4 linked regions of the Nothobranchius furzeri genome follow. The protein of the gene in region 1 purifies or fractionates together with the protein of each later gene. This does not show direct contact. Links are inferred from orthologs where the notes say so. Each region holds a gene or a part of one and is shown in the gene's direction. Other genes may lie near its edges.

Evidence for each region.
Region 2: the proteins of mycbp (region 1) and arfgef1 purify together in Homo sapiens (co-immunoprecipitation; 4 studies listed by BioGRID and IntAct, with this or other methods). This does not show direct contact. The link is inferred for Nothobranchius furzeri from reciprocal best matches to the Homo sapiens genes MYCBP and ARFGEF1.
Region 3: the proteins of mycbp (region 1) and otud4 purify together in Homo sapiens (co-immunoprecipitation; 3 studies listed by BioGRID and IntAct, with this or other methods). This does not show direct contact. The link is inferred for Nothobranchius furzeri from reciprocal best matches to the Homo sapiens genes MYCBP and OTUD4.
Region 4: the proteins of mycbp (region 1) and arfgef2 purify together in Homo sapiens (co-immunoprecipitation; 4 studies listed by BioGRID and IntAct, with this or other methods). This does not show direct contact. The link is inferred for Nothobranchius furzeri from reciprocal best matches to the Homo sapiens genes MYCBP and ARFGEF2.

The regions. Positions count from the first base shown.
Region 1 is NC_091759.1:25,185,450-25,192,864, forward strand, and holds mycbp (C-Myc-binding protein), read left to right. Parts: upstream 1-4,265; 5' UTR 4,266-4,401; coding exon 4,402-4,416; intron 4,417-4,639; coding exon 4,640-4,712; intron 4,713-4,808; coding exon 4,809-4,857; intron 4,858-5,231; coding exon 5,232-5,361; intron 5,362-5,433; coding exon 5,434-5,478; 3' UTR 5,479-5,534; downstream 5,535-7,415. Other genes in the region: si:ch1073-513e17.1 (sialin), read right to left, coding at 43-217, 286-519, 608-825, 947-1,031; gap junction alpha-9 protein, read right to left, coding at 6,225-7,415. UniProt on the Homo sapiens protein: May control the transcriptional activity of MYC. Stimulates the activation of E box-dependent transcription by MYC.
Region 2 is NC_091747.1:51,774,708-51,782,518, reverse strand, and holds part of arfgef1 (brefeldin A-inhibited guanine nucleotide-exchange protein 1), read left to right. Parts: intron 1-151; coding exon 152-331; intron 332-618; coding exon 619-672; intron 673-5,208; coding exon 5,209-5,551; intron 5,552-5,833; coding exon 5,834-5,968; intron 5,969-6,570; coding exon 6,571-6,803; intron 6,804-7,245; coding exon 7,246-7,379; intron 7,380-7,811. UniProt on the Homo sapiens protein: Promotes guanine-nucleotide exchange on ARF1 and ARF3. Promotes the activation of ARF1/ARF3 through replacement of GDP with GTP. Involved in vesicular trafficking.
Region 3 is NC_091742.1:88,799,167-88,806,977, forward strand, and holds part of otud4 (OTU domain-containing protein 4), read left to right. Parts: intron 1-3,160; coding exon 3,161-3,252; intron 3,253-3,544; coding exon 3,545-3,707; intron 3,708-3,860; coding exon 3,861-3,993; intron 3,994-4,128; coding exon 4,129-4,203; intron 4,204-4,537; coding exon 4,538-5,087; intron 5,088-5,169; coding exon 5,170-5,664; intron 5,665-7,811.
Region 4 is NC_091755.1:48,055,223-48,063,033, reverse strand, and holds the end of arfgef2 (brefeldin A-inhibited guanine nucleotide-exchange protein 2), read left to right. Parts: intron 1-75; coding exon 76-184; intron 185-257; coding exon 258-397; intron 398-4,619; coding exon 4,620-4,797; intron 4,798-4,926; coding exon 4,927-5,065; intron 5,066-5,570; coding exon 5,571-5,688; intron 5,689-6,051; coding exon 6,052-6,216; 3' UTR 6,217-6,424; downstream 6,425-7,811. UniProt on the Homo sapiens protein: Promotes guanine-nucleotide exchange on ARF1 and ARF3 and to a lower extent on ARF5 and ARF6. Promotes the activation of ARF1/ARF5/ARF6 through replacement of GDP with GTP. Involved in the regulation of Golgi vesicular transport.

The DNA.
Region 1 (7,415 bases):
CCCTCGTGCCAGAGCGACTCGTCCGGAGTTTCTGTCCCTCACCGCAGAGGTAGAAAACAGCGGGCCAGCCCAGCTTTTCACAGATGAAACCGGTGATCGAGAGGGCCACGAAGGCCCCGAAGGCACCGCCGGAGCCCGACAGGGTCATCAGGCGGGAGCGCTCCAGAGGAGGGGCCCAGCGGGCCCACATCGCCATCATGGCCGGGAACGTCACGCCCTGAGAGGAAACACACAGACGGTTCTGGATCCACAGGTGCACAGTTCAGAATCTGTTGAATAACCTGCCTCTCCGAAGCCCTCCAGCGCTCGCAGGGCGAACAGCCAGTGCACCCCCCATGACGCTGCCACAGGGGTGAGGAGGGTGAGGAGAGCCGTGCCCAGCACCCCCAGGCCCAGGAACTTGCTGCCGCCGTAGTGACCGGCCAGGTACCCCCCTGGGATCTGGGTGCACAGGTACCCAAAGAAGAAAGCTCCCAGGAGCCAGCCCTGGGTCTCCGGGTTCCAGGTGTACTCGGGAGTCTGAGGGGGAGGGAGAGAGGGAGGAGGAGGCGTAAACAAGATGCTGACGCCATCAAACCACGTCTCACATCAGTGGGGACGCCTTTACCCCGTCTGGCTGCTGCAGGGTGTCACTGGTGTTCTCCGTCCCGGGTGGCAGCGGGCAGGCGGGGGCCACCGACGTGTTCCTGTCTACAGACGGGTTGGTGGCGTTCACCATGGCTACCATGGCAACGCTGAGGTTGACACGCAGACCGTAGACCACGGAGAAGCCGAGGAACATGAGGACAGCGAGGTTGAGCCGCGCCGAGCAGCACTGAGGAGGAGCTGCTCCGAGACAAGACGATGATGTTGTTATTACATGACTTATTACATGGTTATTGCTGATAAACCCTCATTTCCTGTCATATCAGGGTTGAATGGGTTCCTTTGGTCTGCTCGAACCCACCCGGGTCATTCTGGATGAGCGACTTGGTGTCCTCGCTCTCGTCTGACGAGTCCGCGTTGATGGAGCAGCCACCGGGCGGCGGCATGACGGTCGTCCGAGGCGGCTTCAGGCGTCAGCGAGTCATGATGTTCAGCAAATCTGATGAGTCATCAAAACAATAACACAACAAGGCGTGAGATCAACACGACCTGCAGCTTCGTCCGAAACGTTCGAGTCAGACGACACTTCCTGTTTCACTAACCCGAGTTTACAGAAGCTCAGAGGCAGAAACAAACCAGCGTGAAGGTTTATATTCCCACTTCATCAGCTTTCAGACTGATGAGAAGTAAAACCTGTGTTCAGTTAGAGGGAGTTAAACCGGTTCAGTGGGAAAGCCCGTGTTCCGATTCCTGATCATGAGGTTTTCCATGTCAGTCACACTCTTCCTGTCACTCGGCTTCTGTCTGACAAACAGCTGCTTTTCTGATTTAGGAGAAAACAGATGTTTGAACTCCTCGCGAGCTTCTGGATGCTTCTGATTTCAGCCAAAATCATCATAAACATCACACAGTACATCTGAGAAGGTTGACCATATTTAACGTATCTTCTCCACGTGACACAAGCAACACTCTGCGAGCATGAGAGCGATGCCTCATGAGATTTCCAGAAACCATCTGAAGACAATCACTGATCATCGAACTGCTTGTTTCTGTTCCTGAGAACACAAAACTTACAAAGAGGAAGAACGTTCCCATGTCTTCAACATGCTGATTATAAAAGAATATTTTTTCTGCAATGACATTTAGTAAGAGGAACTGAATATGATCACGTGATTAGTGTTTAAAGGTCCAACAGGGTCCTGTCAGTGCTCCCTACAGCCAGATGTTAATACAGTTATTAAGAACGCAACGTTTCTTTGTTAGTGACAGAAAACAGATTTAATACACTGTCATATCATTACGTAATAATAATAATGATGATGTCTGTAGCTTCTTGGTAATCAAGCTTATGCGTTAAATAATTAACTATCAGCTTGTTTAATTTGAAAAATAATCATTATTTTGATTATTGAAACTTAAATCACAAAGCATGGCTGCCATGTGACAAAAACAACAAAATGTTCGCTTTTGAGGCAGAAATGAGTCTGTCACCCCTAAAAGCTGCATTGTAGGCAACATGTCACTTCCCGGTTTAACAAAACCCACCTGTTTAACGATTAAAGTACCTGAAACCGTCCTCCGGTTGTGTGGATACGTGAACCTGAAACCGGTGGAACACCGAGGCTGCTGCTGTTGATCCGAAATTCAAGAGAAAGAAAAGTCACATGAGCAGCGGCAAGTACTAAAGAACAGATCTACTAAAGACTCCACTGTCTTCGCCTACCAGTTAATGCAGCGCATATGGTTTATAAGTCAGTGGTCACATTGTGACGTCGAGGCACGTGATTGGTTCTTCCTCCTCTACTCCTGGACGGCGCTGAGCTAAAGCATAGATATCATACTAACTAGATCCCCTAACCGGGAGTCGACAGCGTCCTTACACGGCGGCCATCTTACTTCGTACAGTTCTCTAGCTGAGGCTGAGTGCACGGCTCAAAGAAAAATACTGAGATGCAACGGTTTTCTCTAGAACTTTGGAAATGAAGGGAAGGTGGGAAATGGGACGGAGATTATTGAAATCATTGGGATCTGAACCAGGTTTTTTTAGAATAGGGCTGACTGAAGCGGATTTGAATAGGGAGGGGACCATACCAGAGGATAGTGAGGAATGAATAACAGCTGTTATAAAGGGGAGCAGGGAGGAAAGGCAGGATTTAACTCTGTTGGAATAGGGTCTAGCTGACGGGTGGAAGGTTTGGACTTGGTGGTGTAATCTAATAGTTCTGAGGGATGGGGAAGTTCAAAGGAGGAGAACTGAATGGAGGGTTCAAATAAATCAGGAGAGGGAGGGGAGGAATGAGGTAAAGAGAGATGGATTCTATTGACCTTCTCATTAAAAACTGAAGGAGAGAGTTACAGGTTTCTGAAGAGTAAAGATGGATGGGTAAGGAGTCGGGAGGCTGAAAAATGCTGTTCATGATGGAAAATAATGTCTTAGTGTTGCTGGAGTTGGACGAGATGAGACCGGAGTAATACTGTGATTTGGCGTAGGAGATGGAGTCCTTGTAGAGAGAAATCTGAGCAGAATATAAGTCTTTATGGATGGTGAGACCGGTTTTCCTGTAGAGTCTTTCAAGCCTCCGGTTGGCTTTCAATGAGCGTGGGGCAGGGGTGAACCATGGAGCAGACCGAGTGAAATATACAGAGCGGGATTTGATGATAGCAAATGGATTAAGGGTTGAAACCAGACCGTTATTGTACTGAATGACAAGATCATCGGGAGTAGAGGATAAATCTGGGGTCAGGGTGGCAAAGCTGGAGGAATGGGAGGCTAGATCAATGTCCTTAATATTACGAAATGAAATGATACGGGGTGACTTGATGACGGAGAGACGGAGGGGAACAGAAAAGGAGATGAGGAAGTGGTCCGTGAAAGGGAGCGGGTCAGCTGTACAGTTGGAGGGGGTCAGGCCGGAGCAGCAGATTAAATCCAGGGTGTGACCTTTAATGTGAGTGGTGGCAGGCAGAGTTTACAAACTACAGCTAGTTCATCAGAAGCAGATCTTGTTGACAATAAAATGGTAAGTATGGGAAATTTACAGGATAGGGGAAAACGGCTGGAAAGTGGAGTGAAATAAGGGGAGTTTCCTGCCAATACTGACATATTTCATAGCCACGTCTCTAATGTTTCTAAAAAATCAAACCGTATGAAAATCGGTTGAAAACTGAGAAAGTTAAGAGTTGTTTAAATAGTGCACGCACCACTAAACACCACTGTTAGAGGAGGGCCGCTGTCCGAAGTAAGATGGCCGCCGCGAACGGACGTCAGGGTCCATTGACGAACAGCGCGGGTGAGGGATCTAGCTAATATATATGATATCTATGGGTTAAAGCGCCGGACATTCCTGAACTCTGAACCCACGAAGACTGAAGGAACATTTTTTTAATTTAGTGCAATTCGCGTTATTCATGGCTGTACGTTAATCAAATGTACGATAAATCTACTGTAAAGTAAAAAAAAACACGTCCGGACTACGCTAGCAAACTATCGCGCTTTTGGATTTCTTCCATTTAAACAATTTATTTTAAATGTTACCGATATATCAGTTTTTTGTTACCTGGATGTAGAAATAAAAATTCGGCCAATCTGTTTTTTCCCCTTGTGTCACATGACGTAACCAGGAAACATTTATTTTTTTAAAGAGTTAGAAACATTTGTTTAGAGAACTACCAGCGGCATCATTTCCGCTTTACGTGCTGTCATGGCAACAGACCACCTGTTTGTGGACGGAAGTGCGTACAAAACAAGCTGCTGTGTGTTTGGGTCTGGAACCTATCTATTCATCTATCACCAAATTATAGGTTTTAACCGTCTCCATGGCCAACTATAGAGTGAGTAATAAAGAGATAAATATCGTGTTTATCAGAAATGTTTTACATTTTGTTCGTATTTGAGGTTAAACTCACGTAGCGTGTGCTAACTAGTTAGCATCCGGACAGTGAACGCACCATAGGCTCAGATGCTTCTCGTGTTCTGTTTAATGGTGATTTTTCAAACAATAAACGTTCATATTTTAGTTAAAAATTGTTAATGTGACTATTTGTTGGGTTACAGGCGTCCGAGTCAAAGCGAGAACAGTTCAGGAGATACCTCGAACGATCTGGAGTTCTGGACACTTTAACGAGCGGTGGGACATCCTAACGCCCCCTTCTTCCTGTTACCGTCACACACACGCGCTCATTTGTTCAGGTGGCGGGGATTCATGTGTGTTTCTGTTTTGTAGTCTTGGTGGCTCTTTATGAAGAACCAGATAAACCCAACAACGCCCTCGAGTATCCTTCGTTCTAATTATAGAAGATCTGAAGCACTTTTTATTCCAGACTTCAGAAGATTTGAACATTCCAGATTAATCATGTTAACTCGCTATTGCCAGTTATCATTTTCAGCTGAAACTGATTCAGTTGTTGTCCTAAAATAATTATTTTAAACAAAATCTTGTATGTTCTCCATTTTTGTCTCTAAATAGCTAAAATGACATTTGACCCTTCCCAGATTGATTGGCAGCAACAGTTGCTTCTCTAAAGTTGCTGCTGAGGGTTTTCCTCTTTCTCCTTACACACACCTGTATGCTCCGGAGCAGCAGACTGACTAAACTGCATCTTATAGCTCTGACTGACGAGGATCTGGACCTTAACCAGAGACTCAGCTTTATAAAACTCCACCTCGGGACATCGGGTCCAGAACCCAGAGACTCAGAGGCGCTTCGAATGGAGCTGGCTGATCTGCAGCAGAAGTGCAGCCTGCTCATGGAGGAGAACAAGGAGCTGAAGAACAGAGTAAGCATCCACAGGTCAGAGTTCACCCCGGATTCTCCGTCGGGAACGTCTGACGGTTTGTTTGTCTCACAGCTGATGCAGTACGAGACGTCGCCTGAGGAGAGAGCTGGAGTGTAGGACGGCTGCGGTGCTGCTTTTGGGGGTCCCGGGAAATAAAATCATTCATCACTGGCTTTTGTTTTGTGCAGAATGTAAATGTTTTATCATCACATAATCAACGAAGACAAAATCACTGTTCGTTTTTTAAATAACAAAACATTTGATCAGAAATTCATATTTTTTCACTTTTTTTAAAAATTCCATTTAAATTTTTCAGTCTTTCAAACTGAAATCTTCTGCATCAAGTAGAAAAATAGTTTCCATATAAAAACACCAAAACACAAAAGGCCATCAGCCTCTAAAACTGTTTAGGTGGATTAACTCACTGCTGAACTAAAAGTGTTTACATAACAACAGCTGACTGGAACACGAGCGATCGATGATTCGCTTTTCCATCCCTCCGCGTCTCCATCCTGCTGAATCGTTAAATGTCGATCTGGATGTCTGAGGCTGACCTGGAAACGCAGAGACCAGTTTCTCTCAAAGCTTTTGAAACATGACAGAAAACTACATAAAGCATCTTTTCTACTGCAGCCTGTGGTTTTTGTGTTTACATGTACAGAGCTGTGCAAAAGTCTTGATCCAGACCTCATCAGGAACACTTTTCATCAGAGGTTAAAAAGATTCTCCGATAAAAACTGACACTAAGAGAAAAATCAGCCAGAGTTCAAAGAGAGACTCCTCAGGAAGTCTGGAGAGCCACTGATCCAAGTCTGGCTGCGTTTGGAAACACGACACCAGAACCGGATCAGGACTTAACGGGTTCAGATCTGTAAGTCCGTCGGGGCTCGTCTGCTGCTGCCGCTGCTCGCCGCCGACGCTCTTCGGTTTGGGGAGGAGGTGGTGGGGCTGTTGCTCTCCCGGCTGTGTCGAGACATGGAGCTCAGCTCCCCCACGGAGTCCGGGCTCTGGGATCCACTCGGCCTCTTTGAGTCCGACTTGGAGAGCACCCTGGCTCTTGGCCCGGCGCAGCCGCTGCGGAGCTTCATGCTGCTGTTTCCGTGGTAGGAGTCTCCGCTGTCTGAGCAGTTCCCCTCCATCACCGTGGAGCAGTTCCACGACGGGCTGGGCTTCCGGGACTTCCTGGCGACGGCTGACAGCGTGGTGCAGGTGGAGGTGTCTGCCACAGAGAGGGTGGGGTACTCCGAGCTCCCACACTCCAGATCTTCGTGGTGGGAGGAAGAGTGCTCCTCAGGCTCGTCCTGCTTGTCCACAGGAGGTGAACGTGTCTCACTGCTGGTGTTGTTGGAGTTGCTGTTCTGCTCCGTCGGGCTCGGAACCCCCTCTTTGACGTCTTTGCGGCTGTCTGGGACGGCCCCGGGGTCTCCCTGTATTGGGACAAAGGCGGAGGAGGCACTGAGGAGGGGGTAGTTTGGTCCGTTGCCCTGCTTCTCCAGCAGCAGTGTGTATCCACTGGGAGCTGTGGGAATGGTGGTCTTACGTCCCACTGACGTCCCCACACACACCTGATGGACAACCGAGTTCTTTTTAGACTTGTTGACGTAATAATCATCAAGGTCGTCCTTGAGGTGGGGGTAGAAGTTCAGTATGGCCCTCTTTATCTTCTTGAAGCCCAGGTGCATGATCTCCAGCAGGCTGAGGAACAGGGAGATGCAGGCGATGACTTGCATGAACATCATGAAGACAGTTTTCTCTGTTGGCCTGGAGACAAAGCAGTCCACCATATTGGGACACGGCTCCCGTTCGCACTTGTACAGAGTGTTTAGACGGTGTCCGTAGAGGATGTACTGACCCATCATGAAGCTAACCTCCACCACGGAGCGAGTGACGATGTGAGCCATGTAGGTGCACAGCAGCGAGCCCCTAAGCGGTGCTTTGTTGAGCTTCCCCTGCTCCAGCTGCCTCATCTCCTTCTCGATCCTTCTCTTCACCTCCACCATCTCTGCATCCACTGCCTCCAGCTCCCGTCGGAGAGCCACCTTCTTGCAGTGGCG
Region 2 (7,811 bases), on another chromosome or scaffold:
TTTTATTGCATGCAAATAGTTCCTTTGATATCGTAATGGTGTGTATCCTATGAGCAGTGTGGCGTTTTGTGTAAAGGGTCACAAGGGAGGGCATGTTTAAATGAGGTCAAGCTTCTCCCACTCCTCACCCCTCTCCGTCTCACCCCTCCAGGCCCTGTTGACGGCCGTGACCTCCCAGCACATAGAAATCCACGAAGGTACGGTGCTGCAGGCTGTCCGCACCTGCTACAACATCTACCTGGCCAGCAAGAACCTCATCAACCAGACGACGGCGAAGGCCACGCTCACACAGATGCTCAACGTCATTTTCGCGCGCATGGAGAATCAAGCAGTACGTCTGTCCTTCTCAAAACAATTCAGCGAAGAGACAGAAAAGACGGCTTCTCTTTGGAGGCTGCTTTTCTAGAAGCTACTTTTAGCTACTTTGCTTTAATTGTTTTCTGAACTTTATTCTCATTTAACCAAAAGCCTTCTTTGTGTTCAGAGGGACATTTAAGGTGTTGCCTTCAAAGAAAGCTTGCTCTAATGTCATCTTTTTCTTTTTGAATGGCACTTTCCTCCCCCTCCTCACCTGCCTCCCCTCCCCCTTCCTCCCCCCCTCCCTTTTTGGACACATAGCTTACAAATCACAAGCTATCTTGGTCTCTGGCCTCCAGAAAGCGTGACCGCCAGGTAAAGCATGCAGGACTTGCAGTGACATTGCCTGATCGGAACTTTTCAGCTCCTATCCTGTGTGTGTTTGTGTCTGAGCTTTTCCCCTCATCCATCCATCCATCCATCCATCCATGCACTCATCTGTTCTCCTCATTTTGCTCCCACGCTGCACTCAGATTCAGTCTTCCACAGTATGCCTTGGCTTCCCCTCTCATCTCGCTTTTCCACAACATCTTAGTTTTATAAGTGCACCTAGTTGTGCTAAATCTTTGGTATTGATGAGTGATGAAACGCTGAAACAAAGAGACGTGGTAGCCTTTGAGTCCTATTATTGTGCTGCATTGCTGCACAGAGATATCCACTTTCTTACTTTGTGTGTGTGTCCCATTGGCTGCAGCTCAGCATGATCTGATCACACCTACACACACAAACACACACACCCATCACTGTCCAACTGAGGTGGCATTTAAATAATGAGCTTAGTTTGTTTGTGCTGGCTCGACTTTCCCCTCCGGAACATTTGTCTGGTCCTGCCGTTGCACGTTATTAGTCGTTTATGTCAAAGTTTTGCTTCACTGAATTTATTTGGCTCTATTTACTTGTGACAAAGGCAGCAAGCTCGTTTAATTTAAATCAAACGGCTTCATTAGAAACTTAGTTTTCGAAGAATAACGAGTCCGATTAAACCAAAATGCAGTAAACGCCATAAAACTGATAAATTTGTGTCGCATTTAGAGCAGGAAATGCTTCAATAAAAATTCATATAAGGCTATTTTGGTGTGCAATATTAGTATTGTAGAGAATTTTATTAAACCAGACTTAAAATATACTCAAAATATTTGAATTCCACAAGCAAATGGACCCAGATTTCCCTAAATATCAACAGCAACTACACGGCGAGTGCCAGGAATATTGGATTACTGAGGCAGATGAATAAAATTGTGATTGCCTGTTTTCCTAATATCATGCAGCTCAACATAATTGCTGTGCTTTGTGACTAAGTTTCAACATGAACATTTGCACGCCAAACAATTTGTGTGCATTTGCATTCCATACAGCTTGGGACCTGGCCATGTGGAAAAGATCTTGTAAAGGTGTCACATGTAAAGGATTTCTACTGCAAAGTACCATTTAGTTTTTTTCATTCATTTTTTGTGTTTTGAACTGGTTACCAACAGTGAGGGACTGACTGTAGGACATGCACACACGTAGCTGGGGTTTTTGGAAAACCTAATATCAAATCTTACCGATCTAGGAGAAAAGCTTGTTTTCAGCAAAAATCCAGTGTTGTGATGCACATTCAAACGTATAGGTGGCAGTAGTTCCCCAAGTTATTGGTGTCTCATGCTAAGAAACATTCACTGGTGATGTCAGAGCATTTTTATTGCAGGCAGTGGTGTTGCAAAACCTAAAACCCCGGCTATTTACGTCCACAAGCAAATGCCGACAACGGAGAATTCGTAAATCTCCACTTTGGTCGTCCATCCATCCATCCATCCATCCATTTTCATCCGGTTATCCGAATTCGGGTCACGGGGGCAGTAGCCTAAGGCGAGACGCCTAGACTTCCCTCTCCCCAGCCACTTGGGCCAGCTCCTCCAGGGGAATCCCAAGGCGTTCCCTGGCCAGGTGAGAGACATAGTCCCTCCACCGTGTCCTGGGTCTACCTTTAGGCCTCCTCCCGGTTGGACGTGCCCGGAAAACCTCACCAGGGAGGCGTCCAGGAGGCATCCTGACGAGATGCCCGAGCCACCTCAACTGGCTCCTCTTGATGTGGAGGAGCAGCAGGTCTACTCCGAGCCCCTCCCGAATGACTGAGTTTCTCACCCTATCTCTACGGGAGAGCCCAGCCACTCTTCGGAGAAAACTCATTTTGGCCGCTTGTATCCGCGACCTCGTTCTTTCGGTCACTACCCAAAGCTCATGACCATAGGTGAGGGTAGGAACGTAGATCGACCGGTAAATCGAGAGCTTTGCCTTCTGACTCAGCTCTCTTCACCTGGACTTCACTGCAGATGCAGCACCAATCCGCCTATCGATCTCACGCTCCAGTTTTCCCTCACTCGTGAACAAGTCCCCGAGATACTTAAACTCCTCCACTTGGGGCAGGACCTCATCCCTGACCCGGAGAAGGCATTCTACCCTTTTCCGAATCAAGACCATGGTCTGAGATTTTGAGGAGCTGATTCTCATCCCAGCTGCTTCACACTTGGCTGCGAACCACTCCAGCAAAAGCTGAAGATCACGTTCTGATGAAGCCAACAGGACCACGTCATCTGCAAAAAGAAGAGACCTGATCCTCAGGCCACCAAAACGGATGCCCTCCACACCTTGGCTGTGCCTAGAAATCCTGTCCATAAAGTTTATTAACAGAATCGGTGACAAAGGGCAGCCTTGGCGGAGTCCAACTCTCACTGGGAACGAGCCCGACTTACTGCCGGCAATGCGGACCAAGCTCTGACACCGGTCATACAGGGACCTAACAGCCTGGGCCCTGTGGGCCCCCCGAGGAACGCGGTCAAACGCCTTCTCCAAATCCATGAAACACATGTAGACTGGTTGGGCAAATTCCCACGCACCCTCCAGGATCCCCCTAAGGGTATAGAGCTGGTCCAGTGTTCCACGGCCAGGACAAAAACCCCATTGCTCCTCCTGAATCCGAGGTTCATCAATCCAATGGACCCTCCTCTCCAGAACCCCTGAATAGACCTTACCAGAAAGGCTCAGGAGTGTGATCCCCCTGTAGTTGGAACACACCCTGCGGTCCCCCTTTTTAAATACGGGGACCACCACCCCGGTCTGCCAGTCCAGTGGGACTGCCCCCGATGTCCACGCAATATTGCAGAGCCACGTCAGCCAACACAGCTCCACAACATCCAGAGCCTTAAGGAACTCCGGGCGGATCTCATCCATCCCCAGAGCCTTGCCACAGAGGAGCTGGTGGACGGTGGACCAGAATCTCCTCGAATCCGTACGGAAGTCTTGCTCCGTGGTCTCACCGAACTCCTCCCATGCCCGGGTTTTTGCCCTGGCGACCACCTGAGCCGCGTTCCGCTTGGACTGCCGGTACCCGTCAGCTGCCTCTGGAGTCCCACAGGCCAAAAATACCTTATAGGACTCTTTCTTCAGCTTGACAGCATCCCTAACCGCCGGTGTCCACCAGCGGGTTCGGGGGTTGCCACCACAACAGGCACTGACGATCCTGCGTCCACAGCTCCGGTCAGCCGCCTCAACAATGGAGGAATGGAACTGGGTCCATTTAGATTCAATACCCCCCACCCCCACCCCACCCCCGGAACATTTTGGAAGTTCTGTCGGATGTGGGAATTGAAGCTCCTTCTGACAGGAGACTGCCAGACGTTCCCGGCAGACTCTCGCGATACATTTGGGCCTGTCTGGTCTGACCGGCTTTGGTTGTAGTTTTTAAAAAATTGTTCCTGACACCGGGTATCTTTTTTTATTCAGATCACAGGCTAAACTGTAGAAAATGATCTTTGTTTTGTGAGACACCTGGTGGCTACGTGTGGACCTGGCCTTAGTTGTGAAAGAGATTTGGGTATTCTGAGTGTTGGAATCGGTTAGCCTGATCTGTGATTGCTAATCTAAAACTGAAAGCAGTTTGGTCCCTGAATGCATCGTCTTTGTGATGGCAGTACAAGCTCTTCCCTGCAACGATTTTACTACATGAATCATAATTTCACTCTTGATCGGTTTTTCTATGCAAGTCGGAGCTGTTGAAGTGTGAGAAATTGGCATCGGCTCTCAAAATCAGAATCGGTACATTTATTAACTGAATTGCAAATAAAATGAGGTTAAATTACAAACAAAATCAGGACTTGTTGTGACTAAATGACACCAAAACTGTAAAAATGCGTGAAAGTTTTAATATTTTCGTCCGTACCTCTCGTCATCTGTCTGCTTTCTTTTTAATCTGTTATTTTCTACAAATGCTCCAAAGCTGCTGTTGTGGGCTGGCTGAGAAAACTTGCACTGCTTGTATTTTTTTTCTAGCTCGTGTTTCTGTGACGGTTCAGATAATTGATCATCTCTGCTCTTAAAATTCAAATCAGAACCTAAATGTAAGCGTGCTCGGTGTGCAGCTTGAGAGGTGAAATCTCACAAAATTCAGCCGCATTTAATGCACGCTCTTGCAATGTCTTGTGACCCACTTTCAGCTCGAGAGCCAGCGAGCTGAAGCACGGCCACTCTTTGTCGCTCCCTCTATCAGAACTGCCATGACACATCAGTCAGGACGCGTCCGTAGGAACCATTGTCCACCATGGCGCCAGCATGAACTTGATCTCGCTGTGTTTCATTGCTCATTGAGTGGATTAACGTGTTGATCTGATGCATATTCACCCACCATACTGCAGAAACTTCACAGGTGTATTTTATGGTATCTTTATAAAATGTTTTTGCTGTGATCTTGATTTGGGCGCCGTTTGCTCACAGGAGAATTGAGTTGATCATACTGACAAATTAATGCTTTTCCATTTTGTCTGCTTCCTGTTTTTGTTATTTTGCTTCTTCCCCCCCCCCCCCCCCCCCCCCCAGCTGCAGGAAGCCAAACAGATGGAGAGAGATCGGCACCGGCAGCACTCCCCAGTCACCCAGCCCGCTGAGCCAGAATCCCCCCAGCTCCAGACCCACGTCCACTCATCTGCAAAGGCTCCCACGCAGGAGGCCAACGGGCCCGTCAGCCCTCCCACCCCCGGCACCACCTGCCCGTCCACCCCATCCACCCCGTCGACGCCCGCCCCTGAGTCCAACAGCAGGTCTGTGTCCGGGGAGCAGGAGGGGCTCGTCTACGAGAACCCGGACCCTGAAAATGGGTCGGAGTTCTGCGTGGCTGAAAATGAGCAAACGGAGGCGGACCAAGCCACCGCAGCAGCACAGAGTGAGACTTTTTACTTTCCTTCACCACAAGTTTGGGCGCAATAAAAATGTTGATAAAAACACTTGAAGTTGCAGGTTTAGAATCAAATGTTTGTGTTTTTAGTTTAAATTATGAGTCGGCGACCCTCCTCAGAGCTGAAGTTTTATTTGGATTTGGCTCATTTCTTATCGGATTTTCATTTAATAGGTGGATTTTTTTTTCTGTTCAGACTTTGAAGATTAAAGCTTCCAGCAAGCAGAACCGACCACGTTTCGGTCACAGCTGAATGTGTTGTTGTTCTAGATGCTGCATCCAAACAGCACGAAGGAGCGCGTAAAGAGGAAGAGGAGGAGGAGGAGGAAAGCCCAAACTACGAGGAGAAAGCCCAGGAAATAGTCCAGAGTATCCTGCAGGAGGTGGTCAACACTGTTGCAGGAGGTAAAGCTTCTTCTGTGGGCTTTAGCGGCATGTTTTTAAAAAAGGGAAGCGGCTAACCAGGCTGAGAGAGAGAACACCGCCGCGGTAGGCTGCGCTTCAGTTTGCTCACATCTCTGCAGAGAAGCAGCTTCAATTCCCGCATTCTCATTAAATCTTATTTCTGAGTAAAAAAAAAAACCTAACACATGCATCTCCTCTCATTAACATAAGTGTTGACGTTCATACTTCTGATCACCATTCTGTAAATCAAGGTGTGATTTTTAGGTTTAATGTCCTTTCATTTCCCTCAGATGCTGACATAAATAAGGGGAATCACCTTTTTTTTGCTGAAGTTTCTAAAAGCCATTATTTCTTTGCTCTGGCAGCAAAAAAATGGATAAATGTGCTTGTCCACATGAAAGACACGCTGCTTTCCCTTCTTTTAATCCTGCACAGGTTTTCAGGATTTGGAGGAAAACTGAGCAGAAATCTACTCCAGTGTGTTTTTTAGGGATTCTTTAGATTTGCTGCAAACATCTTTCGTCTTTTTTCTTAGTTAGAAAGCCGAATTAGCTCCAGTTGGTCATTAGAAATCACATGATTTATGTATGTTGTCCTCACAGGCCACTGTCTGGATCCTGCAAACCTCTGCTCCGACACCCAGGAGTCCGCCGCGGATTCGCAGCCCGCCATGGCGGGGACCGAGGGAACCCAAAGCTCGCTGGAGGACGAGGGCACCGTGGGGAGTGACAGCGAGCACGTCCATGCCAATGGCATTCCTGGAACTCCGATTTCTGCCAGCTTCACGCCCTCGTTACCCGATGACAGACTCTCCGTCTCCTCCACAGACACTCAGGTCCGAGGAAGCGGGACCATTTCAGAACACCTAATCTCTTGTTATAAATTATGATTTTTGTTTTCATTTACTGCAAATATATGAAATAATGAATTCATATTATATCATATTAGTCATAAAAGATTAATGAGCCTTTAATGTCACATATAAAAAGTCTAAAAAAGACTAACTGAAAACATTTAAGGATTATTTCAAGCTTTATTCATTTATTTTGGAGCTCATTCGTGATGCTATGACTACATGCATCTTAATAACTGAAGAGGTTTCTTTGAAATTAAGGTTATTTTTGTCATTTTAGATGCAAATGTCCTTTTCATCCAAGTCAAACTGATTTCTGCAGGGAGTCATGATTGCAAATATTTCCGGATCACCTGGATTTCCACATTGTAGTGCAGCAGAGGAAAGTGAGTTTAGATGTCTGTTTGTTATTGGCTCCCCTCAGGAATCGGGGGCGACACCAGGACAGCTACCGGGCGCCAAGTTCTCCCACATCCTGCAGAAAGACGCTTTCCTCGTCTTTCGCTCGCTCTGCAAGCTGTCCATGAAGCCGCTTTCAGAAGGACCGCCTGATCCCAAGTAAGACTTTAAAAGATTTATGTCTAAAAGGGACAAATGGCCATCATATAAATGTTGAAAGGAGTCATCATTTAAATGAATCTGCGCATGAATACATTGGGAGTTGTTATTTGTGGAAGATGAGCTCTGGCGCTCCTGTTTCAGGAAGTAGAAGTTAGTCCAAAAAAGGCAGTGTTGGAAAATGGCAGGACTTGGATTTTTACTCATTAACATTAATGATATGCGAGCACATTGCCTCTGATTGGCTAATGGCAACCAGACTCTTCCGCTGCCTCCATTCACTCTTCTTTTTGGGGTAAAATATGCAACGTTGATGTTTGATCTCCACATGTGACACAAGCCTGGAGTAGGTCTGCAGTGTTGTGGAGTTGCTAATGCTAACAGTTAGCTTTTTCTAACCGAAACACACTTTGATCTCACCTGGACGCTAAA
Region 3 (7,811 bases), on another chromosome or scaffold:
CGCCGAATGAGTTATAACAGATGTGGTGGTGTAGTGGTTATGGAATCAGGTTGACATGCAGTTTTGTGCAGGTTCGCCTCCCATTAGTGTAAGTTTTAGGTAGTGTACAACCTCTTTTCTTCATGTCTAGCTACACTTGCCAGTACTGTTTACAACAATTTATTGGTATGCCGTTTAACATATAATGACTAATGTGTTTTTTTATTTATTCATTTGTTCATTTAGCCAGTGTGAGTCCATCTGTGAGCAGAGTTTCAACTAAAATGCTGTTTAGGAACGACCAAATTCAAAGAACTGGTAGAGACATAAATATTTTGCTGAAAATGAACGTTACAATTAAATATGAACAAATTAAATGTTTCAGCTGGCTAAATAGATTGTTGCCGACCCCACCGAGAATCGAACCAGCATCAGCTGAGGGGAAAGCAAAACTCAACTCAGACGATCTTGCCACTGGACTAACAGAACACACATGGGAATGGTACATGCTGTTGTACAGGACTTTTGTTAGAGCGGCTGTGGGCAGATATTCGCTAAGAAAAACCTTTTTATTTCGGGATATATTCAGACTTTGTCATGTAGCAAGTTATATTTATCTTGTTTAATTGGAGCATAGAACATAGCATTAACGACTGTAAACTAGTAACAGCCGTAATTCATGTGGGTCAGGTCAGTTTGCGATAAAGTTGAAAACAAAAACGGAAGTCAGTGGGCTAGGCTGAGTTTGCGTGAATGGGCGGGGCTGACTCTGGTGCAGCTCCACCTTATGGTGCAGCTCCGCCTTTGTAGTTCTGCAGCGAGCACCCTCTCGAAAAATGGGCACCACCAGTGTCGTTGACGACTAAAAGATCTTATAACCAAAATAACTTGTAACCAAGTATTCTCTGCATCTAAATGATACTGACAAACACGCCCTGACAGTCTCCACATAAAACCAGAAAAACATTACAAATCAAATGTGAAAATATAAATGTCAGGAAAAGTAGAAACCATAAACAACATAACTATTGATAACAACAATAAACAACTCCTCTGTGCTGTTAAATAGCAAAAAGAAAGGAAACAGAACATATAAATGAGGAAAAAATAAATGAAGACTACTTCCTTCTAGCGCTGGGCACAGCCATCTTTAAATTTGGGATCTTGGGGTCCACTGAAGCATAAAAGGTCGCAGCTCAGAATTCTAAGATCATGGCGTAATTTCCGGCTAACTTATCTTGGAAAAACGAGTTCCAAGAACACTGTTGTCCTGCTGCTAGTACTGCTAATGCTGCTAGTACTGCTGCTAATGCTGCTAGTACTGCTAATGCTGCTAGTACTGCTGCTAATGCTGCTAGTACTGCTGCTAATGCTGCTAGTACTGCTAATGCTGCTAGTACTGCTGCTAATGCTGCTAGTACTGCTAGTGCTGCTAGTACTGCTGCTAATGCTGCTAGTACTGCTGCTAATGCTGCTAGTACTGCTGCTAATGCTGCTAGTACTGCTGCTAATGCTGCTAGTACTGCTAATGCTGCTAGTACTGCTAGTACTGCTGCTAATGCTGCTAGTACTGCTAATGCTGCTAGTACTGCTGCTAATGCTGCTAGTACTGCTAATGTTGCTAGTACTGCTAATGCTGCTAGTACTGCTAATGCTACTAGTACTGCTAATGCTGCTAGTACTGCTAATGCTGCTAGTACTGCTGCTAATGCTGCTAGTACTGCTAATGCTGCTAGTACTGCTAATGCTGCTAGTACTGCTAATGCTACTAGTACTGCTGCTAGTACTGCTAATGCTGCTAGTACTGCTGCTAGTACTGCTAGTGCTGCTAGTACTGCTGCTAATGCTGCTAGTACTGCTGCTAATGCTGCTAGTACTGCTAATGCTGCTAGTACTGCTAATGCTGCTGGTGCTGTTAATGCTGCTAGTACTGCTAATGCTGCTAGCACTGTTAATGCTGCTAGTACTGCTGCTAGTACTGCTAATGCTGCTAGTACTGCTAATGCTGCTAGTACTGCTGCTAATGCTGCTAGTACTGCTAATGCTGCTAGTACTGCTAGTGCTGCTAGTACTGCTGCTAATGCTGCTAGTACTGCTAATGCTGCTAGTACTGCTAATGCTGCTAGTACTGCTGCTAATGCTGCGAGTACTGCTAGTGCTGCTAGTACTGCTAATGCTGCTAGTACTGCTGCTAATGCTGCTAGTACTGCTGCTAATGCTGCTAGTACTGCTAATGCTGCTAGTACTGCTGCTAATACTGCTAATGCTGCTAGTACTGCTGCTAATGCTGCTAGTACTGCTAATGCTGCTAGTACTGCTAATGCTGCTAGTACCGCTAATGCTGCTAGTACTGCTAATGCTGCTAGTACTGCTAATGCTGCTAGTACTGCTAATGCTACTAGTACTGCTGCTAATGCTGCTAGTACTGCTAATGCTGCTAGTACTGCTAGTGCTGCTAGTACTGCTGCTAATGCTGCTAGTACTGCTGCTAATGCTGCTAGTACTGCTAATGCTGCTAGTACTGCTAATGCTGCTGGTGCTGTTAATGCTGCTAGTACTGCTAATGCTGCTAGTACTGTTAGTGCTGCTAGTACTGCTGCTAGTACTGCTAATGCTGCTAATGCTGCTAGTACTGCTGCTAATGCTGCTAGTACTGCTAATGCTGCTAGTGCTGCTAGTACTGCTGCTAGTACTGCTAATGCTGCTAGTACTGCTGCTAATGCTGCTAGTACTGCTAATGCTGCTAGTACTCCTGCTAATGCTGGTAGTACTGCTGCTAATGCTGGTAGTACTGCTAGTGCTGCTAGTACTGCTAATGCTGCTAGTACTGCTGCTAGTACTGCTGCTAATGCTGCTAGTACTGCTAATGCTGCTAGTACTGCTGCTAATACTGCTAATGCTGCTAGTACTGCTGCTAATGCTGCTAGTACTGCTAATGCTGCTAGTACTGCTAATGCTGCTAGTACCGCTAATGCTGCTAGTACCACTAATGCTGCTAGTACTGCTGCTAACGCTGCTGTTAAATGATAAATAACCCACACTTATAAAGTGCTTTTCAGAGTCAGAGGACTCTAAAGCGCTTTACGCTAGTGTATGATTCATCCATTCACACACACACAGTGATACACTGATGGCGCTGTTTGTGCTAACTCAGCTGGTTGACAGGTGGTCTTGTCTGCAGGCAGGTGCCTCTGTGGAACATCCGACCTTACAGCGCGGAAAACACTTGGAGCACCGTTGTCCGAGAGAAGAAGCTGAGCAACGGACACGGAGGTGACACAAGTTCATGTCCTGCCAACGCTTTACTAGCAGGATGGTTAAAAAGTTTTTTTCATGGAAGGGGTTTTTATTATTTTCATTCTATTTATTTTTATGTGTATGTTGAGCTGTAGCTTTACTTCCTGTCTCACTGAATGAGTCTGTCTTAAGCTCCTGCTGAGGTCACTGAGCCATAGACACGTTTATATGAAGTAAAAAGAGGGTCGATGAGCTAACGGCTAGGTTACACACAAGCAAAGCATCTTGATGTTTTAAGGATTATAATGATGTTCTGTTGCTGTCTCAGACTGGGAGGACAGGGGTCGAGGACGAGGACGAGGGAAGCCCACTCCAGCATCCTACTCTGCCGTGTCCCAGACAGCGACCACAGGCTCCAGTGGGCGTGTGCAGAAGCAGAACTCGTGGCCCCCACAGGCCACCACAGAGGAGCAGGGAGGGCCCAAAAGCAGGTCAGGACTTGAGTGTTTAATTTAAACTCGTTTATAGCAGCCACCTCTGCCTGGACCCATGTTTGGGTTTAACTCATGGCCACCGCTTTGCAAACCCAGATGACCTCACTGGGGCCAGCACAAGGCTGATGATGTAACCGTTGGTTTCTGCAGGACATCAGTGAGCTCCTTGGAGGCAGCATTTGGTGTGACGGCGAAGGAGCGACAGGCCAAAGTAGAAGAGGAGATGAACATGGCTCTGATGGAGATCCAACTCCGAGACGAACACAGCTTCCCCGCCCTCAAGGTGAGTCCAGTAGCTCTGTCCTCAGCAACTGCTAATTTTGAAGGTTTAGTTTATTTTAGGAACTCAGAATCCTAGAATGAGAGAATAATAATCTGTTCAGCCCAGATTAAGATCCACCTACTTACTTCCTCTCAGACTCACACTGTGGTTCAGGCTGAAAGAGGGAGGAAGAAGGGAGGAGAGAAGAGACAGTCTCAAAGACACAAGACGGTGAGGAAGCCCCACCCCCTTTGGAGCTAGAAACAGCTGATGGTGTTCTTGTGTCCTGAGCACATCCACCGCCCAGCTCCCATGACCTTTGTGTGGTAACCATGGCGACCCAAATGAGCCACTGGCAGCAGCATTAACATGACTCGTTTCTCAGACTTGATGTTTCCAGGGTTGATGGCGGTTTGATCTAGTATTTAGTCCGAAACAGTTCTCCAGGCAGCTGTTGCCATGGTTACCACCACAATGTTGTCTTCTATTTTTAGACTCGGTTTAGTTGAATCTGCTCACTGTGTTCTTCTTCTCTGGTGTTTTTAACATGTTTGTGTTTTTCTAGAAGAGTCCAGTTGAAGAGGTCAGTGACTTGGCGCCCTCTTCTGGAGACAGACCCAAGTCCTCCACTCCTCCTCCTCCTATAGCTCCTAACCCCACTTTACCGACCACTGACCCCACCCTCCCACCTGCCTCTGCTGCCCGAGAAGCTAAATCAAACACACCTTCCTACACTTCAGCTGCTGATCTGAGCTCTCCCCCAGCCAACATCAAACCCTCCGTCCCGTCTCTCTTCACCCTCATCACGCCTGTCCTCCCTGCTGCTTCATCACCTCCTGCTCCCTCCATGTCCTCCTCCCCTCCCAGGTCTGATACTCCCCCATCCTCTTCATCAGTGTCTGAGCCCATCTTCATTGCGCCCATCGCTCCCAGTCCCACAGCTGCTCACTGCTTCCTACGCTCCTTCTCCCCCCCTCCTCCCCCGTCTTCCCCATTACCTCCTCCTCAAATAAAAGAATCTCTGCCTCATCAAGAAAAAGAACCTCCTCCCCTTTCTCAAATAAAAGAAGCTCCTCCCATTGATGAAAAACAAGTCCCTCCCACTCCAACTGCAGGTGAGAAATCAGCCGATGTCAGATTAAAATAATTTAGTCTCACTTCTCGTCATCGTGTCTCACACTGTCTTGTCTTCTGTAGATGTCTTGCTCCAGACTGAAGGAACTCTGCAGACTTCTCAGATGGAGAAACCTGTGTCTCAGGCCCCTGTGACTCCCCACCTGGACCCAGTTTCTGTGTCTGAGGAGGAGAAACGAGCTCCGCCCTGTTTACCTGAGACCCAGAGTCCCACAGAGGTCCAGTCCTCAGCTCCTCAGCCCCAACTAGAAACCCACACTCAGTCCTCTCACCCGCCTCCAGGACCCTCCCAGGTCCCATCGTCTCCCAGTGTTCAGAGTCAAGCTGAAGCCCCGCCCCCTCCTGAGAAACCCCAGTCTCCTCCCCCCCAGCAGTCCCAGCCTCCTTACCCCTCTAGTCCTCCTCATTCTCATCACCCCCTTGGAGCTATCCCCCTCCAGCAGCTGTCTCAGATTTACCAAGACCCCCTGTTCCCCGGGTTCCCCCAGGGGGACAAAGGCGAGATGGCCCCGATTCCTCCCATGTCTACCAACAAGACGGGAGACGACCTGCCGAAAGGTGAGACACTGGGACCGGGGCACAAGCTGGTGATGATGTCATTTTTGTCTTTTATTGTTTTTTTCTGTTTGGTTAAAAAAATCATGCTTTGATTGACGTGTTTTACAGTTTTTAAACATATGATTAAAATTACTCGGGTTTAACTTTTCCCTGGGCTGCCACCTTACCGTGGTGGAGGGTTTGAGTTTCCCAGTGGTCCTAGGAGCTATGTTGTCTGAGGCTTTATGCCTCTGTTAGGGTCACCCATGGCAAACAGGTTCTAGGTGAGGGACCAGACAAAGGGAAACGCAAAGACCCTTCATGATAAAAAATATATATCAAAACAGTGTTCCCTCGCCTGGACGTGGGTCACAGGGGCCCCCCTCTGGAGCCAGGCCTGGAGGTGGAGCGCCTTGGCGAGCGCCTGCAGTGTTTCCCCTAGGCATTTTTCCAGCTGTGAGGGGGGGTTAAATTATGACACGTCTCACCTTTGTGTTAATATTGTTTTATTTGATGCACTCCACTTTGAACTGCACCAATCCAGCAACTGCTGCATTTTAATAACTAGTATTAAAGGTGAATATGCCAACATTTGCACAAGAATAATTTTTGTTTTAAACTCTCAGTGACACACTTTGCAGGGGGGATTTGGCATTTAATTTTTCTTGGCGTCTAGAAAAACATCTCCTTTTGCCCCCCTTTATTTTGGTCCATGGAGCCCAGCCGGCCACAGCCCGAAGAGGAAACGTGGGTCACCCTTCCCATGGGCTCACCACTCATGAGCGGGACCTCAGGGGTCAGATGCAGTGTGTAACAGGTGGTAGCTGAGGGTTGGGACCTTAGCGGTCTGATCCTCGACTACAGAAGCTGGCTCTTGATGTGTTGAATGTCACCTTTCTCGTGGGGAAGGAGCCTGAGTTGGTGTGTGAGGTTGAGAGGTTCCAACTAGAAATAGTCGGACTCACCTCAACGCATGGCTCTGGCTCCGGAACCAGTTTCCTCGAGAGGGGCTGGACACTCTCTGGAGTTGCTCCCACTGAGAGGCGCCGAGCAGAGGTGGGCATACTAGTTGCCCCACATCTTGGTGCCTGTACATTGGTGAACGAGAGGGTAGCCTCCCTCCGTCTACATGTGGGGGGACGGGTCCTAACTGTTGTCTGTGCGTATGCACCAAACTACAGTTCAGACTACCCACCCTTTTTGAAGAAGTAAAGCTCTTTTCTATAGCGCGCCTCAAGAGAAAAATCACGAGGCGCTTCACAAAAACAAAAAATGTAAAATATAAAAAAGAATACACTTGGAGACGTGTGGTTGGGAGGAACGGCCCCCTGATCTGAATTCAAGTGGTGTTTTGTTATTGGACTTCTGTGCCAGTCATGGATTGTCCATAATGAACACCATGTTCAGACATAAAGGTGTCCATGTGTGCTCTTGGCGCCTGGATACCTTAGGCCGCAGCTCAATGATCGACTTTGTTGTTGTTTCATCTGACCTGTGACCGCATGTCTTGGACACTCGGGTGAAGAGCGGGGCGGAGCTGTTAACTGACCACTACCTGGTGGTGAATTGACTCAGATGGTGGGGGAGGATGCCGGTCAGACCAGGCAGGCCCAAACGTATCGCGAGGGTCTGCTGGGAACGTCTGGCAGAGTCTCCTGTCAGAAGGAGCTTCAATTCCCACCTCCGACAGAATTTCCAAAATGTTCCGGGGGAGGCGGGGGACATTGAGTCTGAATGGACCCTGTTCCGTGCCTCCATTGTTGAGGCGGCCGACCAGAGCTGCGGTCGCAGGATCGTCTGTGCCTGACTGGCAACCCCCAAACCCGCTGGTAGACTGGTGGACACCGGCGGTTAGGGATGCTGTAAAGCTGAAGAAAGAGTCCCATCAGGTCTTTTTGGCCTGTTGCATGGGAGGAGTTCGGTGAGACCATGGAGCAAGACTTCTCTACGGCCTCTAGGAGATTCTGGTCCACCATCCGGCGCCTCAGGGGGGGGGGGTAAAGCAGGGCACTACCAACACTATCTATAGTGGGGATGGCGTGCTGCTAACCTCTACTCAGGATGTTGTGGATCGGTGGGTAGAATACTTCGAAGACCTCCTCAATCCCACCAACACGTCTTCCAGTGGGGAAGCAGAGTCTGGGGACTTTGAGTTGGGCTCTCAAATC
Region 4 (7,811 bases), on another chromosome or scaffold:
ACTTATCCGGAGTCGGGTCGCGGGGGCAACAGCTGCAGTCGGGGTTGTGATCATGTTTTTACTTTTCGTCTCCAGGATGCAGATTTCGACAGCCAGTCTCAGAGCAGCTACGACAGAGCTCTGTCCGAGAGAGGACACAGCCAGATGTCCAGCGACGACACCTGGAAGGGCAGATCCAACGCCAGTGAGTTTAATAAAGCCGCACACGCCTCCGATCGTTCCGATGGTGAGTCATTTAAACCTTAATCCCTCCCCAGGAGTCTCAGACCAGAGGCTGTTTGCAGGGCTGCTGATTAAATGTGTCGTGCAGCTCGAGCTCATCCAGACTGTAGACAACATCGTCTTCTTCCCAGCAACCAGCAAGAAGGAGGATGCTGAAAACATGGCTGCAGCGCAGGTAGTCACGCAGAAGACCCTCACCTTCGAGGGTGTGTCATGGTGTCAAAGTTCAGCCTACGTGCTAACCTGCAGAAACAGCAGAAGAAAACCTGCTGGGGACTCATTTAACCTGGAAGAGCTTTCTCCTGCTCGCTGACTAACGGGCTCGACACACGGGAGGCGACGTCGCCTCTCCATTCATGTTCAATGAGACATGCGATAATCGCGGGTCTCCCACCTACTACGCGAAACGCGCGCGTGAAATTTTGCGCTCGTGCACGTGGCGTGCACAGGCGACCCAGAAAGTTGAAATATTTTCAACTTTTCATCGCCGTCGCTCGGACGAGGACCGACCAACGGAGGTTTCATTCACTGACCAATGAGCGGAGAGGATGCTCTCCGAGTGTACACGTAATAAGAAAATACACCCACCTAAAGGTGGAACACCAGACTAATACTGAACAGGCGTTCCTAATAGTCCTTTAGGTGAGTGTATATGAAAATATAATTATTGTTTATCATTAACTTACCTTAGACGGATAGCAAGTCGTTCTTCTGGGCTTTGTAGGAGCCAAGAGCTGCGTTTGTGTACGAGATGTTTAACATCCTGTCTTCAGTCCAGTTTGCATAATTTCCAGTGAGACTAACATTTATCTGAATGTTTATCGGGAAGTCAAGAGCAGCGGATGGTTCCTGTCTCGTTGCACGGGTTGCTGGGAAAGACTCCCCAAACAGTTTCCAATTCATGTGTATGTGAGACCCATTTCCTAAGCCATGCAGAAGTGACGTCAGTAAAAAGTATAACTGGGGTCGCATCTTCGGTGTAAGCGGGCTTTTTCTGAGATCCAGCCGGCGGCCCGTTGCGTTCTGGCTGAACGCTGTCCCGAGTTACTGGTGGTGTGTTGCTGAACTGTACAAATAAACCGCCCCACGCTGTAAGGACACAGTTGTCTCATTCTCTTGTGTTTTGATGAGGAAAAGAACCGCAGCTTATAGACCCTTTTACTGTGTGTAAACAATATGACGTCATGTTTCAGGCTTTATCAAGCTACGCTGCGGGGTTATCACCGGCAAATCTTGAATGTTATATTATTAACCTCACTTTAACGAATGGCAACAGACTCCCGGATCCCTGTGGCATTACGGAATGGGTGGAAGATGTAGGTGCGTGGCCCGATATACAGGTGCTGGCCAGTAAATTAGAATATCATCAAAAGGTTGAAAATATTTCAGTAATTCCATTCAAAACGTGAAACTTGTACATTATATTCATGCAATGCACACAGACCAATGTATTTCCAATGTTCATTACATTTAAATTTGATATTCATAAGTGACAACTAATGAAAACTCCAAATTTGGTATCTCAAAAAATTAGAATATTCTGAAAAGGCTGAATATAGAAGACACCTGCTGCCACTCTAATCAGCTGATTTACTCAAAACACCTGCAAAGGCCTTTAAAAGGTCCCTCAGTCTTGTTTTGAAGGCATCACAATCATGGGGAAGACTTCTGACTTAACAGCTGTCCAAAAGACAATCATTGACACCTTGCACAAGGAGGGCAAGACACAAAAGGTGATTGCTAAAGAAGCTGGCTGTTCGCAGAGCTCTGTGTCCAAGCACATTAACAGACAGGCGAAGGGACGGAAAAAATGTGGTAGAAAAAAGTGTACAAGCTCTAGGGATAACCGCACCCTGCAGAGAATTGTGACGACAAACCCATTCAAAAATGTGGGGGAGATCCACAAAGAGTGGACTGCAGCTGGAGTCAGCGCTTCAAGAACCACCACGAGGAGACTCATGAAAGACATGGGATTCAGGTGTCGCATTCCGTGTGTCAAGCCACTCTTGAACAAGAAACAGCGCAAGAAGCGTCTCGCCTGGGCCAAGGACAAAAAGGACTGGACTGATGCTGAGTGGTCCAAAGTTATGTTTTCTGATGAAAGCAAGTTCTGCATTTCCTTTGGAAATCAAGGACCCAGAGTCTGGAGGAAGAGCGGAGAAGCACAGAATCCACGTTGCATGAGGTCCAGTGTAAAGTTTCCACCGTCAGTGATGGTGTGGGGTGCCATGTCATCTGCCGGTGTTGGCCCACTCTGTTTCCTGAGGTCCAGGGTCAATGCAGCCGTCTACCAGGAAGTTTTAGAGCACTTCATGCTTCCTGCTGCTGACCAACTTTATGGGGATGCAGACTTCACCTTTCAACTGGACTTGGCACCTGCACACAGTGCCAAAACCACCAGCACCTGGTTCAAGGACCATGGTATCCCTGTCCTTGATTGGCCAGCAAACTCGCCTGACCTTAACCCCATAGAAAATCTATGGGGTATTGTGAAGCGGAGGATGCAATACGCTAGACCCAACAATGCAGAGGAGCTGAAGACGACTATCAGAGCAACCTGGGCTCTCATAACACCTGAGCAGTGCCACAGACTGATCGAGTCCATGCCACGCCGCATTACTGCAGTTATTGAGGCAAAAGGAGCCCCGACTAAGTATTGAGTGCTATACATGCACATTCTTTTCATGTTCATTCTTTTCAGTTGGCCAACATTAGAGAAACAAACATTTTTTCATTGGCCTTTAGAATATTCTAATTTTCTGAGATACCAGATTTGATGTTTTCATTGGTTGTCACCTATAAATATCAAAATTAAACGTAATAAACATCGGAAATACATTGGTCTGTGTGCATTGCATGAATATAATGTACAAGTTTCACGTTTTGAATGGAATTACTGAAATATTTTCAACCTTTTGATGATATTCTAATTTACTGGCCAGCACCTGTATATACGTTTTAGTGGAGAGGCCCAGTAAGTACACACGTGAGAAGCTACGGGCATACAAATCGTTAGATGCATACAACTATGTTGTCTGTGGCCACGTACAGAAAGTAAAATATCACGACATAGACTCTGAGTTTTGAATCTTGAAGGCAGAAGTCCTTCCTAGCCAAAGACAAGGACACAAGACTGCTACGTACGAGGCTTGGGTCATAGTAAACAAACCAGAGAACTATGTCTTCACAGCCAACTGTACCTGCATGGCAGGGTGAGTATAGCATAGGTTTCTTTTTTTAGCGTGCTCAGAGTACAATCGTGTTAATTTTAGAGAAATACAGTTTATACTAATATGCAGTGGGAAAATACAGATGAATTAGAATGAAATGTTAATTTGGAGCATGAAATAAAGCGTATAAATTTGTTTAATTCTGTCATTTTGATGTTCCAGACTTGGGTCATGCTGCCGCCACGCAGCAGCAATTTTATTCAAAGTTGAGCTTTGTGTTAGGATGGGAAAAACAGAAAAGGCAGCAGTTACATCTCAGTAGAACACACGTTAACCAGCTTTCTGGTGTAATCTTAGTACATAATTACCTTACCTGATATAAAATGGGCGCTACAAACTCGAGCATTTCGGATCGTGTTTTCAGTCCAGTTTTCATCAACCCTTTTGATGGCCTGCAGCCACAGACGCCTCCGGTTTTGTTGAAATGGATGTGCTCCCTTCGGAATTCTGTAAAGTTTCAGTCCACTGCTTGAAGAGAAGCGATTCTGGCATCCATACACGCAACAACCCGACATTTTTATGTGCTCAGAAATTCAAAACAAAGGGTTTAAAACGCTGTTTTAGTATCGAGTGTGAATGAGGAAGCCTTCACTCTCGTTGCCAGGCTGCGCGCGCAACTTTTGATGACGTAGGTCGTAAAAGGGTTCTCTCATGTTTGTGTGAATCTTCTCTATCGTTGGGGTTACCAGGGTGAGAAGATGGACAAGTAGCTCTGGACTGAGGCGACGGTAGGTCCGGAGTTGATCAGGACTATCCTTGAGGTCCCTCATAAATGATGGTTTTCTCCGTTTCTTTCTCTGGTTTGTAACACGGGACGAACCCATTCTTGTTTGTTTTTTTTATAGTAAAATCAGAAGTAAGATTTCACATAACTCTAGCAGCACCTTGTGACGCATCACATGTACCGCGTTTTTAACTCTGAACCGCTTAAATAACCTTAACTCCCTCCAACCTGACACAGCCAATCAAAACAACGGAAGGTTCGATTTCGCCATGGAACAGAACGCGTTGGCGGCTTTGCCGCTGCCGCGGGTCGCCTCCCGCGTGTCGAGCCCATGACTCGGTTCAAACCCTAACTCTGTTACGGTTAGAGGTCACTAACCCTAACTACGTTCTCCAGTCGGGGATGGACGCCTTCTTGCACTTAGCAGTTCAAATGTCTTCCAGAGAGATGCTCTGGAGGAGTCGGAGGCTGACTGGGAGGATTCCAGACCGGATCAGGGCATGTACCGACACATGACCTCAGCTCACCTCTTCAAGCTGCTGGACTGTCTGCTGGAGTCGCACAACTTTGCCAAGGACTTCAACTCCAACAACGAGCAGAGGACGGCTCTCTGGAGGGCGGGTAAGCCGCTGCAGGCCTCGCTGTTCCTCTGGTTCATGAGATCGGTGTTGGATCGTGGAAAAAGGAGAAGTTCAGGCGTAGAGACTCCCGTGCATTCACTTTAATGGCAGGTGTCCTCTCTGCTCGCAGGCTTTAAGGGGAAATCGAAGCCCAACTTGTTGAAGCAGGAAACCAGCAGCCTCGCCTGCAGCCTCAGGATCTTGTTTAAGATGTACTCCGACCTGAAGCTGCAGGACTCGTGGCCCGACATCCAAACACGCCTGCTGCTGTGAGTACTGACCTGCAGCGTGTCGTCAAAGCATGAGGCTGAAGTCCGGCGGGGGGGGGGGCTGTTTTAGCCTGGATGATTTGCTGAAGCTGTGACTGAGTTCTGCTGTCAGCAGTACCGGGTCTGCAGATAAAAACTGGGTTTGTGGAGACACAGGAAGATGTCAGCAGGAGCAGCTTCGTGCCTTAAAGATGTCGTTTTAACAGATGTGAGGAAAAAAGCTGAATTATGTCGTCCTTGATTGATTTATTGTTGCCAGCTCTCTGGTGGATGAGCAGGACTCCAACATCTGGCTAGTTCATGACCGCGTGGGTTTAAGTGACCCGCCTCGCTGGTCACGGGTCTGCTGCGAGTCACGACCGCGATCGTGCTGAAGTCTGGTTTATTAGCCGCCGCGTTAAGCTAGTTTGATTTGCTAACTGCAAACTCATTAGAGTAATGTTTGTTTCATGTGTGTGCGTGCGTGCGTGTGTGTGCGCGTGCGTGTGTGTTTTTCCTGGTTCAGAGTGTGTACCGAAGCTCTGAGCTACTTCATCAGTCTGACCTCAGAGAGCCACCGAGAGGCGTGGAACAGCCTGCTGATGCTGCTGCTCACCAGAACACTACGGCTGCCCGACGGCAAGGCACGAACACACACACACACACACACACACACACACACACACACACACGTGTTCCATAGAGGAGAGCTGGATTATGATACATCCATCCATTAACGTGTTTTTGTGGTACTAAACCTCATCACTGACGACTCTTGGCCCTCCCCACGACTCGGTTCTTCCAGAGCACCTCAGGCCAAAGCGATTACAGATTATAGATCACATATTAAAGATATGATTGAAGAAGCAACTTGTGATGGTTCGACATGCATGACCACCCGGTGTTGTTGGGATTTAGCTGGTTCTGGACGGAGACCTGCTCCGAAAGCAGCTGAAACACTTTATTCTGGGACTTTGTTGTTTAACGCTCATCTCTGTCCTCCGTAGTTTAAGCCCCATGCTTCCTGTTACTACCCCCACCTGTGTGAAATGATGCAGTTCGACCTGATCCCGGAGCTGCGGGCCGTCCTCCGGCGCTTCTTCCTGCGCATCGGCTCCGTCTTCCAGATCGCCGCTCCTGAGGGGGCGCCCACCCGGACTCCCTCCTCCTAGGCAGAATCCAGGTGATGCTGTGGATCCGTAGAGAGGAAACCTGAAGGTGGACCTGATACTTGAGAATCTTTCCTCCCTTCTGCTGGTCCGGATCCGAGACGGAGACAAAGTCCGGAGGAGGTTGTGGGTCTTGGTTCAGGACTTGGCATCTTCTCTCGGGGATGAGCAGCTCTGTGACCGGCGCTTCCTGCTGACTGTCGTCTTTCATCCTACAGCGACCAGAACAAGAAGGAAAAACGACTCTAATATAATTTATTGTTGCAGATCCTGTTGCCCCACTTTTCTTTTCCGCTCTAAAAACAAATGAAGCCTTCGGTCCGATTGGCTTTTTGCCAACTGTGCCTGTTAGCAACGGATGATTCTCCACGTGACCGTCGCATCTGTATGAGCCTGACTGAAGCTGCAGGCGACGCGTCAACGATCACCCCGGCTCATCCTGTCCTCTCTCACACGCCCCAGTGAATTTTTACTTATTCGTTGTTTCTCGTTTGCAGTAATTTGATTATTTCCCCACTAAAATCACTTATTTACATCAAAGAGTTTTACTGGTGAAAAAAATGGCTGCTTCCTCCCTCCAGATCTCCCATCAGAACCATTATTCTCTCTTTTGCACACCCGTTAGTGACGTTTTGCTCTCATTAACCACGACTAGGATAGCCTGTCAGTGTTGGCTCTCTGTAGTGATAGTTTCACACCAACAGGATGAATATCTGCATCCCTCTGGAACGTTTTTCATGCCTTTTTGTTCTTCGATGAAGGATGTAAGTAATTATTGAAAGTGCATTTAAATATTTTTTGAAAAGCATTCCTTCCCTCGCCACTATGGATGTCTACTTTTCTCCCCTGAAGTCGGGGAAAACTATAAATATATATATATTATAAATGAAAAAGTACAGACTGTAAAGTTTTCCATGTAAGATACATAAAACTGAAAGTGCTCTACAGTTCTATACATAATATTGTGATGTAATCTTCCAGGTATTTGGTGAAGTAATCAATAAACCTGAATTCTGGTCTGTTCCACTTATTCCTGCTTTCAGGGTGTTGATTATAAACTTGAGAGGATTTTCATCAAGATTTCAGAAAGTGTCCGTTAAATGGAAAATGAAACGATAGAGACTCACGAAACTTATTTATTTTTGCCTTACAGGCTTGAATAGATGGTTTTATGGAAAAAAACCTGAAACTGGTTTGTTTCAAAACAGGAAAAGATGTTAAATATAGCTATGAGTTGACATTTTCTTCAAAAAAAAAAAAAACTACGGAAATTTGTTTCTTCTTGCATCTAATAGCCAATCGTAGAAGAGCCCTTCCAGCCAATCAGAGGCGAGAAAGGCGGGACCTTCCTTGAACATCCTAGAATGACGTTTCACGCTTCGTTTAAACTTTTTTTTTCGTTTTTATTACCCAAACACGAACAAGGAGAGGAACAGGCGCCACCTAGTGGTAGAACACGTTTTTGCTAAACCCAAACCAAGTTGGCTACCGCGCTATTGCCTAAATATGAACGAGGATGATGAATTTACGCCATCTAGTGGTGACAAGCTATAACTACATCCTGGTTCTATTGCTTCTGGAACAGGGGTCACCAACGG